Canis lupus familiaris: one gene and its partner. The protein of the gene in region 1 binds, or shares a complex with, the protein of each later gene. Links are inferred from orthologs where the notes say so. Each region holds a gene or a part of one and is shown on either strand. Other genes may lie near its edges.

Region 1 (5,178 bases):
ATCAAGGTATAACTTTTTAAAAATTCAATTGATGTTTTCCTCTCTGATTCTCCTGAGTCTGTGGATTCTCCTCTTTTCACCCCCGGGTCTGGTTCTCTGCATGTGCTGTCAGTTCTTCTGGGGCTTTTCCTACCTCTCCTGCTGCACCCAGTAGCAGCTCAGGCTTTGGGGGCTCTGTGCTAAACTACCCAACTGCTTCTCCCAAGGGCTTGGAGAGGGCGGCGGAACAAGGTGCCCACCTTGGTGCCCCGTGAGTGTCCATGTGCCACTTCCTCAGGCCCCGCGGGGACGCCTGGTACTGGCTGCCAGGGCTGGTCGGTCTCTCTCTCTCTCTCTCTCTCTCCCTCCCCCCTCTATTTTCATGCTACTTCTCTCTGGACTTTCTTTTCACACTGGTGGCCTCAGCCAGACCATTAATGCCATAGGTTTTTAGTCACCTTGACCAAACAGCCATCTTTCCATTATTCTGGGTTCAGTACCAGGAGACCTCCGCATTCCTTCCTATGTGTACATCTGACTCGGGGACTCCTGTGCCTCTGGATATATTAAGGATCCATATCCTGTGGTCAGGTGGGAGAAAACAAACCTCAATGATCATAACCCTACAGTCTGACCCCAGCCTTCAAGCGCAGGGCTCTTTCACTTCTGTGAATAATCCAGTGCCTTTCAAAGCTTATATTTCACACTTCCCCAAGATTCATAAGGATCTCACCCCTTAAGTCCAACGTAGCACTGAAGACATAGAGTACCCTCGCCCCCAAGTCAGCCCCTCCTTACGCTGCCACCTCCCACCTCCGGGAGATCCTGTGCAAAGTCAGTCGAGTGGGCTTCTAGTTCTGAGGAAGCAGCCCTTAAATGCCTCCAGGCCCTCTGTATCAGCTCAAAGCCACAGCAGGAGCATATATCCCATCAGGATTTAATGGCTACAGTCCCCACCATTCAACCCGATGGCCAGGGCTGCCGATAGGAATCTTTTTCTTTCCGCATTTGATGCCTGTGGGACATCGCCCCTCCCGTATGCTTATCTGTGCTCCAGGCAGCTGGGTGTCCTCCTCCCAAGGCCCAGACAGACAGGCAGCCACACAGAGCACGGGGGCTCATCCCCCTCCTTGCCATACCCTTTTCCTACCCCTTCTCCTTCTGCTTCCCACAGAACCACGAGTTCATAGATGAGCAGATGTTTGAGCAGAACTGCATGGAGAGCTCGATGCAGAACTACCCATCCACAAGAAGTCCTTCGCTGTCCAGTCACCCGGGCCTCACGACCACCTGCTGCTCCCGTCGTAGCAAGAAGACCACACACCTGCCCAACTCCAACCTGCCAGCCACTCGCCTGCGCAGCATGCAAGAGCTCAGCACCATCCACATCCAGGGCAGTGAGCAGCCCTCCCTCACGACCAGGTGGGTGGCTTCTATCCCCATCGTTCCCCAAGGCTTGAGTCGTGCCAGTCCCAGAAGGGAACAGCCTCAGCCTTGGGAGAACTGCTAGCCCTCCCTCCCCACTCATGTGAGGCATGAGCCTCCTCCACCTTCCTTCCCATCCTTGCAAGTTAACCCAGAGGCCCTTCTTATGCTTGGGAGGATGCTGAAGCGGGTTTAGGCCCAAGGTAGGGTTAGAGACCAGAAACAGTAACTGGAAAAAAAAGAAAAAAAAATGAAACAAAGAAAACCTGTCCCGGTGCATAGAATGGATGTTTTCTCAGGGAAACAGTTTTCACAGTTGTGTTAGACATGACTTATCCCAGGCTGATCTTGGACCACAGACTGACCTTTTTCCTCCTTTCTCCACTTATACTTAGGCCACTTCCCACGACCTCCAATGAGTCGCAAGGAATTCAGGGAAAACAAAAGTCAAATGCCACAAATGATAGGTAAACAGTCTATGAGCAAGGTAAAAACGGATACTCTGAATTCCAAAGCTCCGTGTAACTTGCCTTTGCAATTGTTAGAATTACTAATTAGAAGGGAGAGCTCCGGGATGACTAGCAAAAGCAGAGCCAGAGGGCCGCAGGAGCTCGCCCTGGTTGCCATGAGCTAGACCTGCGGAGGTCGAGGGTGCGCTGGGACAATGGCAGGAAGAACCGTCACCAACTCACTCTTTTTTTATCCCAGTCGCTCCAGCCTTAATTTGAAAGCAGACGACGGACTGAGACCAAACTGCAAAACATCCCAGATCACTACAGCCATCATCAGCATCCCCACCCCCCCAGCTCTAACCCCAGAGGGGGAAAGTCGGCCAGCCCCCGCCAGCCCCGGCCCCAACACGAACATTCCTTCCATAGCCAGCAATGTTGTCAAGGTCTCTGCCTTGTAAACCATTGGACAGAGGGCCAGTGCAGGGAGTGAGGGTGAAGGGGGCTGGCCTGCAGGTGGGCAGCCACCGGCACCACTCCCCCACCTTCCCCACTCTCTCTGCCTGCCCTGTCACACCCCTAGCACTGACAACTTGTGCCTGGAAGGAAAAAGGAGGTGGCAAAGGGGCACCTGAGGTTCACCGCTGCTGGCGGGGACATGGACAACGGCCGGGCCCTGTGATCCTGCACCTCGCTGGGGCCAGAGGAAGGGAGGGTAGTAAGGGACGGGGTGGCAGTGGGTGATATGGAGGCAGCGTGCCAGGGCAGGGCCTGGAAGGGGGAGTTGCCTCAGACCCAAGAACAGCTGTTTTTGGAGACCCTGGTGAGGAAAATACAAGATCAAGGGCAGCACAGGGGCCGAGTTGTCACATGCAAAACAGGAAGAAAATATAACACTGTGTATTTAAGCACCTTTTTCAAGGCTCTTAATGGATAATATTTATTCATGGGAAAAGGTGGAAAACAAAACACCAACGGATTTTTGTGAAATATTTTTCTCCATGGACCCAATACCTTTGAACCAAAACAATGCATTTTGTGAAGGTTTTTTTTTTCTCCTTTTATAGAAGAAGCTTTTAAGCTAAGAAGTCAGTTATTGCTGAGTTCTCTCTCCATCCCCCAGGTGGGTGAGGTCACGTGAGCCTGGGCCCCCACTGCCCAGCTGACCTGCACAGAGCTGCCATCTGACCACATGGCAACACTTCCCTCCATCTGTCCTTTGTCTCTGTACCTCTCTGCTTCGCCCCCTGGCTGTTTTTCTCTGTGTCCTGCCATCCGTCTTCACATGGACCCCAGTGATCCTGAGACAAGTTAGTAGAGCCTCCTCCAGTTCCAGGCACCTGCAGGCTCGTGCCTGGGTGTTATATCTGTGTGAACACAGCTGTGGAGAGGAAAGAATAAAGTTTAGGGATGAGGGAAGTCCACTATGCCGAGCAGAGCGCTTCCCTTGTGGTTGGAACCAGTGGTGTTTGCAGTTTCCGTTTCTGGGGGGGAAAGGGAAGGACTAGATTTTTCACACTGGGATCTTGACACGGGAGAGGGGCCAATCCCTAGGAGGCACGGTTGGGTCTGTGTGTGCCAGTGAGGAGAGAGCGGAAGGACCGGGCTCATGGCTGCAGTTGGCCCTGGAGCACCTTGCTATGTACCCTTCTTTCGGGACTCACCACAAAACCCACCCAGAACTCTGCCAAGAGGCCCCATAAGCAGCTTCCTGCAGAAAGGGTAAGCTTCTGGCTCACCTTGCGACAGAGGTAACGCCCATCCAGAGGCTGCAGAAGATTCGGCTTGTGTGCTTCGTGAAGGACGCTCCACAGCGTGAAAGCAAGTAAGCCATTCTAGATGATTCTTACCTGATCTGAAAAGTGTTTGAGGTCTGAAGAGTCTTCAGGCCCAGTGCCCTGAAGGTTCCTGGAGTGGAGAATGAAGCCTGATCACCTCCATGCAAGGGAGGGAGTGGAATGTTCCTTCTGGAGAAGCTCGGAGGCCTGAGGCTAGTGAGGAGCCCTTCCCACGCTCCGTGGCTGTCCGCCCAGCTTGGGCTCCGGGGCACGCAAGCCCCTTACCCGGAGGCCGGCAGTCTCACCGCAGGCGCCAACCGCCACCCACACGACTGCCTGGACGCGTCTCCCTAGTCAGGAGCCTGCGAATACCTTCGGTGGGCTTCCCTGTGAGCCCGGCCGTGTCGACCTGTGGACAGGGAAGGTCAGTGGTCCTGCGGGCATCTAACCAGAAGGCGTGCAGGCGGGCAGGTGGGCAGGTGGGCAGACGACTCCGCGCCTTTGCCTCTATCTCGCGCTGTCCTCGCTGAGCACTCACTGCCTCCTTCCTCTGGGTCTGGCCTCAGGGACTCCCCCAACATGAGGATGGGTGGTCTGGTCCGTGAGCAGAGGAATATACGTGTACACAACCACACACACCCTCACACACACACTCACACCACACACACACACTCACACCACACACACACACACTCATACCCTACACACTCACCACACACACACCCTACATACCCTCACACACCCACACCCACTCACACCTACCGACACACTACACCCTCATACCCACTCACACCCCACACACCCACACCCTCACACACCACACACACACCCTCACACTCACTCACACCCTACACAGACACCACACACACATACACTCATACCCACACACCCTCTCACACACACACACACACACACACACACACACACACCAAACAACAATCTAAAAACATACCCGAGAACAGGTACTTAAATCCTTCACTTCGTACACATGCCCCCTTAGGGAAGGCAAAAGACTGGGTGGGGCCCCTGCAGACATGAGGCAAAGGACTAGAAACAGAACATTTCCTTTGAAAGAATGGTAATGGAATGAAGTTAGGAGTCTCAAAGTACCTAAGTTTGCATCATAAAAACTGAGGAAGGTGAGGGGTAAAGAGGGAAATAGGAACGTGGTCACATATACATACAAACTGCGGGTGTTTGAAGACAGACCATCACAGGGTTAGAATAATGACAGCATCCAACCCAGGATCCGTCCAATTGTGCACCAAGGGAACGTATTTATGCTTTCCACAAAAATTAATGAACAGATTTTTAAAATCATGTCCCAAATTTCTCATTTTTTGGCTCTAATGACCCGCTTTGTATTTCTTGAATTTCATTTCTAAATCCCACATTAAGCCAGTTCCTAAGACTTTAGGCTATCCCCTTCACCTCCATCCCCCCAATGTAGCCTTAGCCAAGGATAAGCGGCCCAGCCCACCTCTGGTCCAAGAGATGTCAACCCCGGAAAATGGTTCATCTACGCAACAGAGTACGGAACTTTTGTA
Region 2 (6,753 bases), on another chromosome or scaffold:
CTCCCAGAGATAGACAAAACGGTGACATACAATCCTTATGCTACACAAGTCTATTCATCCCACAGTTCATGAACTCCCTAACTGACTTTAAGTTGGTCCAGTCCTACCTCAGTATTCCTTCTGGACAGTGATCCCAATCATCTTAAGATCCCATTAAACCAAGTAATTTAGTAAAGGGTTCTTGTGTCTTTTCCCTGTTCTGCTGCAAGTTTCCTCCATTTATCCCTGCAAGGGGCCTTGCCCCTTATATCCACCTGCTTAAGTCCCCCTCCTTTATCCTCTGTGAGAAGTCCTGCCTCACACCCTCCACCATTTGAAGGACCATGATGTCCCCAATCCCTATCCTTTCCTCTTTGGAGACTCCTATCCTCTACCTTCTCGGTAAGGTACGTGACCTTATCCCGAGCTCTACTCTGTCAGGGATCTTGCCCTTTAAACCCTCTCCTTTGAGGGATCCTGCTCCCTCCATCTCTGTGAGGGGCCCTTCCCCTCCCCACCTCTGTAAGGCTCTTATCCCACTTCACTCACTTTTCGAAGGGTCCAGCCCCTTCCTCCCTTCCTCATACCTGGCGACAGCGACCCAGTCACCAGCTGGTAGAGGGATCTCGCTGCCTGCCCCAACGGGCTCCGGCACCTGCGGGGGCATCGGTTCATGATTCTGCTGAGAGCTCACTGGCCAAGCTCCGCCCCCAAGGCCCCAGGGCGGTCGTGTCTCCGCCCCCACTCGAGTGGGCGGAGCAGGCGGGCCGGACCTGCGGGACCAGAATCTCTGACCGCAGGGTTTTCTTCCACTCGCCGGGCCGCACAGGGGAACGCACCGCGGCCCCCATCGTCTAAAGCACCTATCCTCACCCAGTTCCTAGACTGGGCTAGGCGGGGCACGGGGGTGGGGGAGGGAAGGGACGGACTCTCCTCACAGCCTTCTCTGGGAATGTTTTCTGGATTTCTAGTGGGGAGGGTAGGCACCCACGGGTTTTGAAAAAGGAGCTGGGGGAGGGGATAATGAACCTTATTCTTTATTGCCCCTCTTCAGCCCTGCCTTCTCTGCCTGTCGCACACCTCCTCCTCCCAATTTGGCACGGAGAAGTGAAGGGGATAAGCAGGACACAGTTGTCATGGCAACTTCCCACACTTCCATACTTCTAGACCAATGGGAGAGCAAGAGGAAGGAGGAGGAACTGGGCATCGTAGTGGGGTGGCAAAGAAGAGGCTGCTCTGAATTCCTTTCTCTCATAACTTTCTGCTTTGTGTCCCTCTATCTTGCTCCAGTGGGTTCACAGATTCTCCCATTGTATGCTGGCTGCCTGCCAAATGCATGAAGAAGCTCTCCTCGCCTCAGTCTCAGTCCCAACCCTTTGCAGGACTCCTTTCTATAGGGCTGTACCCAAAATAAACCCTTCCAGGACCCACTGACGCCTTCAAACTGCTGGGACAGCCTACATGAGAGACATAGTTCCACTCCTCCTACTGGAGGATCCTGTATTTTTGGCAGAAAATTCTACATTCACGAGGCAAGCATTACCTCCAATCTCCATGCAAATTTTGCCACTTGATTTGGCGGCGACATCCCCATTTGGAATCAGCTCTGTAAGCATGGCTGCCCTACGACCACACGGGGGCGCCCTAGACTGGGGAAATGATATATCTGACCGGAGGGACCCGAGTTCAGGCCTTGGCCTGCCAGATCCCAACTCTCTACTCGTCATCCCTAGTCCTTGCTTTGCTTCCAGGTTGGACAGGACTGCCACTGATTGCTGCTTTTACTCACCACGCCACACTTCCAAGCAGCCCTGCCAGGCTTGGAAGACCAGAGGGAGTAGATCTGGGGCGGAGTGGAGTTTCAGATTCTCCCCACTCCCCACCAAAAAAAAAAAAAAAAAAAAAATCTCCAGCTTTGGGTCTGGGGGAGTGGGGGAGGTAAGTAATTGGGGTACTCCGGATGCCCTGATAAGTTAAGGACTCCCTATCAGCCTGATGGACCAAAATGACGGAAACCAAAGACTACCCCCATGTCCATCCCAGGAATCGGGCCTGCACAGGGAAGACACTTTGGGAACTAGGACCTCCTGGCAGTACCTCTGTCCTGGAGCGCTCTTCAGCACCTCGGACAACGACTCCCCTTCAGGCTTTAGCTCAAGCGTCTCAGGGCACCCAGCACTTTATCAGGGGGAGTCCCAACCTCATCTGTCTCCTGTTGTAAGATAAGCCCTCAATCGAAAGGAGAGCTCCTGGTAACACTATTTCTACTTTCCAAGTCGTGAGTGGAGCTATCTACAGGAGGATGTTGATGATGAGCATCATTCTTGACACTTGTCAACATTTGACCTATTTCCTTTGGGAGGCAGACAGCAAGAAGTAGTGTTCTCCATTTTAGAGGTGAGAAAAGTGAGACCCAGATAGCAAAAGTAATAGCCCATTCCTGCTCCCCAGGAATACAAGTGCTTCCCCACCTTCACCTAGTCTCTGATTCAAATAGCCAACTGGGGAGGGGAGGATTCCACTAAAGGGGAGAATCAATTAAAACAGGAAACAAACACTGACTAATGTGGTGTTAATGAACGCCCTGGGGCCTTACTACTCTCAAGCATCCTGAGTTGGTGAGAACACAGTTCAAAGCAGAGCTGGACGTTGGAGTCCATCCGAGTCTGAGCCACATCTAGGGCACACCTAGGGCCTGCTTGAGCCAAAAGGCTCTCCCTTCTAGGAGTCTCAGCATAGGAACTAGGGCTTCCCTAGGGTCAATGAGTATGGGAGACACTCTAAAGGCATTAGATCCTAGTTGTCATCCTCATCCTGGAGACTTAACCTCACTCCCCTAAGGACAGACAAGGATCATGGGCTCCCTCCACCTTCCCAACTTGTTTCAGACACAGGAGACAGTCTCCCTCCTCCCATCCATTGTTGGAAGTTCCCGGGCAGGCTGTACAATGAGACAGAAAACACATACGCACATGGAAATGTATACAAGGTAACACAGTCACCTACACAAACACATGGGTCTGCCTACTAAACCCAGAAATATATGCAGGCCCAGGTTACTCCACACTGTGGGAGACAGAGCCTGCCTGGGCAGCAAAGTGGTTTGGGGAGGCCACAAGGCACCTTCCAGGCCAAGTGCTTCTATTTCTGGGTCTGGAGGGGAAGAGGGGATATTTTCCTTCATGATTGGATAAAGTTCTGGGAGGGTTGTTGAGGGCTAAAGGAGCTTCAGTTGAAAGAATGATCTCTGAGTACTTTCTTGGGGGTGGGAGATGATGACCCAACACTAACCAAAAACTCCCCACAAGGGCCAGGCGTTGTTCCTGGGAGCCAGGCTGGGCAGACACTGGTGTCCCTCCTTGGGTCCACCTGGGCTGTTTGTGGAAAATGTGGGGAAGCAGTAAATGTGTGGTAAAGGCCCCCTTCTACACCAGGAAACCAGAGAGGCAGCAAGGGTAAGACATGTCAAGACACTCACAAAAGCCCACAGAAGACATTGCCTCCTACACAATCAGCATGGAATGCTGATATAATCTGCATATTCTCACAATCACAAAACACAATGCTTGCCCCAGGAGGGTCACAGTCATAAAGTCTTACAAAGAGACATACCACCATAAGGTGAAGCCCTGACACATTCTGATAGTCACATGTCACTTCATACAGAAAAGCACAAAGCACAGAGTTGCACATTGAACAGAGACATGGTCAAAACAACTTCATTAGTACAACAGAGTCCTACACAACCTTATTCAAACATCTGACAAGATCATACAATTGCACAGCCAACAAAATCACACTTACCCTATCAATATACCAAGCCTAGGGCACATGGCAACCAGCTGAGGGAGGCGCACACACATATACACACAGACACACACACAAAGAATGACAGGCGCTCACGCACGTAACACCTCCCACTCCAGACACTCTCCTAGCTTTGTGTCACACGCCCACACCTGCTGCCTCTCCCCACCTGCCTGCCTGTCCCCCCACCCCCCACGGTTCCAAAGGCTTTGGACCCCAGTGTCTTGCTGCCCAGAACAGCCTGGAGGGTGCTTAGGAATGGGACAGAGTGTGAGTAAGGGCCTGGCCAGGGTCAGAAAGGCTTAAGGGTCTGGGGGATGGAATCTACATTCCCTCCCACGACCCTTGAGCCCCTGACTCACCTGTGAGCTGGTCATAAGATCCGTCCAGGTCTCGGGAATCGGATAAACTCTCCTTGCGGCCCTGGCCCCGCATGGCCCCCGGCGCCCCCGTCCCGTCCCGCCTGGGCCGTGGGAGGGGGCGCCGGGTGGCCAAGATAGGGCGCTCACACGGCGCCCCCTGGTGGCGTTGCTCGCTGTCTGGGCTGGGGCTGAGTCTGGGATGGACAGGGGTCCCGCTGGGGGTCCTGGGGCAGGAGCAGGAAGCTTGGGCAGTAGGTGAACGCAGAGCCGGAGGCAGAGCGGAGCTAAGCACGGAGCCAGAGCCAAGCCGCCTCTCTCCTCCCGCCCCCTCCCCGCGGCTGTCACCGCCGCCTCCCCCCTTTGACGCTGCCGGGATTGGCTCCCCCTACCCCCGCCCCCTCCTCTTTGCAGCTCGGGGGAGGAACCCGGTGAAAGGGTGAGCTGGGAAGTGCGGGGAGGGAGACTGGTTTTCCAGCAACACTACCCCCAAACCTGAAGCCACGGGTTCTGGCGGTGGAGGAGGGAGCAGGACCAGAAAGGACCCACTGTGAGGACCTTCCCCGTCCCAACTCTTAGGCACTCCTTCCCCCACCATCAGCACTGGCCAGGGTAAGTCTCTGAGCTACCTGTCCAGTCTCACATCAGCCCCCATCTTCTCTGTTGTTCTCTTCCCCCATACGGGTCTCCGGGTCTCCGTGCACTCTCACCAGTGCCCACCCTGCTAGGAGGGAGTTAGGGATGCAGAGCATCTGAGAGTCTGTTTTCAGAGCAAAGGTCAGCCCAGCCTCTAAGAGGCTCATCTTAGGCCAGTGGACCACAGTTCTCTCTTCTCTCAGAAAGACCTCAACCCTCAGCCTGCAAGAGCTGTCCCTGAGCCATATTCACAATGAGGGTATCTTCTTCCCTGATCTCAGGAGCCCCATTGGCCCACTGGAAGAAAAGGAAGAGTGAGCCAGGTCAGTTTCTCAGGACTTTGTTCTTTTGTTCCCTTTCTTTTTCCCTTTCAAGTTTCCTGCCCTTCTCTCTTATCACTTGCCCTGTCCTACATTCCTTCTGTTTTCTAGAAGATTTGAGGAGTGACTGGTGTGGGGAATCCAGGTGAGGATACAGAGTAAGAAATGCCCTTGTTTGAGGCCCACCTCCCTTCCCTTAGTTTAGCTCCTTTTCTGAAACCAGGGACTATCACAGAGCTGGGCTGCCACCTGCTCTCCTAAGAATGGCTTCTGAGTGACTGAGCCACTTGTATAACCTTCCCCAGACTCTTTACTGGACTGCTAGCAAAAGAGCCCCCAACCCAAGGAAGGAGAGAGTGTTTGGAGGGCCTGAGTAGTATGGTGGCAGTATCCTATGTGGTCTTCCTGCCTGCCCAATGGCTCCTCTGGAGGAGTAACCTGCTAAGACTGAAACCTTCAGCTAAAGTGACCCCAGCACATTTAATGTCTTCAATTGGATTTAATTCCCAAACACTTGATTCAATTAACTCAGCAGGAATTGTGATAGGAATTCAGGCATAGGAGGGGGACAAGCAAGTACAAGGATTATCTTTGGGAGCAATGCCCTAGCTCTCCCCCCGGCTCTGGAAGTTTCTCCACAAACTGGCACGACCTTGGGGGCATGGACAGAGCATGGGCACCTCCTTTGGGGGTTGAATTCTAGATGATGATGGGACTCCCATCTGGAGTTCTTAAAACATATAGGTAAATGGGCCAAAAGATGTGCTTTTACAATGGAGGGCAAGGAGTCTTGCTACTGCTTCATGCCCTTGTTCATTTCATAGGAAAGGAATCTATAAGTAGCAAAGGCAAGGGAAGCTACACCTCTTTGAAGCTAACTGGCTTCCACTAGGGCCAGGAGACTTAGGAGGAGAGGGAGACAGGCAAGGGTGCCCTAGGCAGATGGGACCAGTACCTGGAGATTACTTTAACTCTGTCTTTGAGAAATGAGTTCTGAATAACAGAGATGAAGAAAAACAAATGAACAAAAAACACTAAAAAGACTGTCCCATACAAATCAATTTTTAATAACTTCAACTTGCCACCATCTTCCAGCTCCAACTCCTCTAGGGCTTATCACTGTGGAGAACACTATAGGCCCCAGGCTGAGCTACCCTATCTAGTGATCAGATGACCCAGCCCCTGATCTCTTAGGAATCTGCATCTATACACGGCAGCATGCTGGTGGATTCTCTGGAAACAGTGTGTATTTGTTCAATGTTGGAGCCACAACTCTGGTTCCCAGGAAGGCAAGAATACTAAAGAGATTTGAAGCTAAGTGGAATAGCAGCCAGGGAGGTCCCAGAACTGCTCTCATTGCCAGTTTCCTGCACTTACTCCGAGTCTTCCTATGCTGCTTGTTCCCTGCTAACCTGAGGGCTTTACAAAGTGCTTTAGAAGGGGGGAAATCTCAGAGCTGCAGCTACTCTAAAGGCAGCTGTGGGGTAGGGAAAGCCTATAGTAGTCCCATAGAGGCTGTCCAGAGGAGGAACCACGGGCCAATTTCCAAAAGGCAAGGAGACTTGCCTGTGGCTCCAGCCAGAATGTGGGTAGACAGAATGGCCTCTGTGTGATGCTCACCTGGCCCCTTTTAGATGGAGGGCACCCTGCTC

What was found. Proteins that work in one complex are often made in the same cells at the same time.
Region 2: the proteins of KCND3 (region 1) and KCNIP2 are in contact, whole or in part, in a cryo-EM structure (PDB 7W6S), measured with the Homo sapiens proteins. The link is inferred for Canis lupus familiaris from reciprocal best matches to the Homo sapiens genes KCND3 and KCNIP2. Residues at the interface, in NP_001365898.1 of Homo sapiens: Val5, Ala7, Trp8, Leu9, Phe11, Ala12, Arg13, Ala14, Ala15, Ala16, Ile17, Gly18, Trp19, Met20, Pro21, Val22, Ala23, Asn24, Cys25, Pro26, Met27, Pro28, Leu29, Ala30, Pro31, Asp33, Trp54, Arg60; in NP_775283.1 of Homo sapiens: Arg112, Gly113, Phe114, Asn116, Glu117, Cys118, Val123, Phe128, Ile131, Tyr132, Gln134, Phe135, Phe136, Tyr144, Leu148, Phe152, Phe165, Leu169, Ile172, Leu173, Arg180, Trp183, Ala184, Leu187, Tyr188, Met201, Met205, Ile208, Met211, His228.

The regions. Positions count from the first base shown.
Region 1 is NC_049238.1:64,428,498-64,433,675, forward strand, and holds the end of KCND3 (potassium voltage-gated channel subfamily D member 3), read left to right. Parts: coding exon 1-6; intron 7-1,153; coding exon 1,154-1,401; intron 1,402-1,799; coding exon 1,800-1,871; intron 1,872-2,112; coding exon 2,113-2,314; 3' UTR 2,315-2,883; downstream 2,884-5,178. UniProt on the Homo sapiens protein: Pore-forming (alpha) subunit of voltage-gated A-type potassium channels that mediates transmembrane potassium transport in excitable membranes, in brain and heart. In cardiomyocytes, may generate the transient outward potassium current I(To).
Region 2 is NC_049249.1:14,610,058-14,616,810, forward strand, and holds the start of KCNIP2 (Kv channel-interacting protein 2), read right to left. Parts: upstream 4,425-6,753; 5' UTR 4,222-4,424; coding exon 4,149-4,221; intron 1-4,148. UniProt on the Homo sapiens protein: Regulatory subunit of Kv4/D (Shal)-type voltage-gated rapidly inactivating A-type potassium channels. Modulates channel density, inactivation kinetics and rate of recovery from inactivation in a calcium-dependent and isoform-specific manner.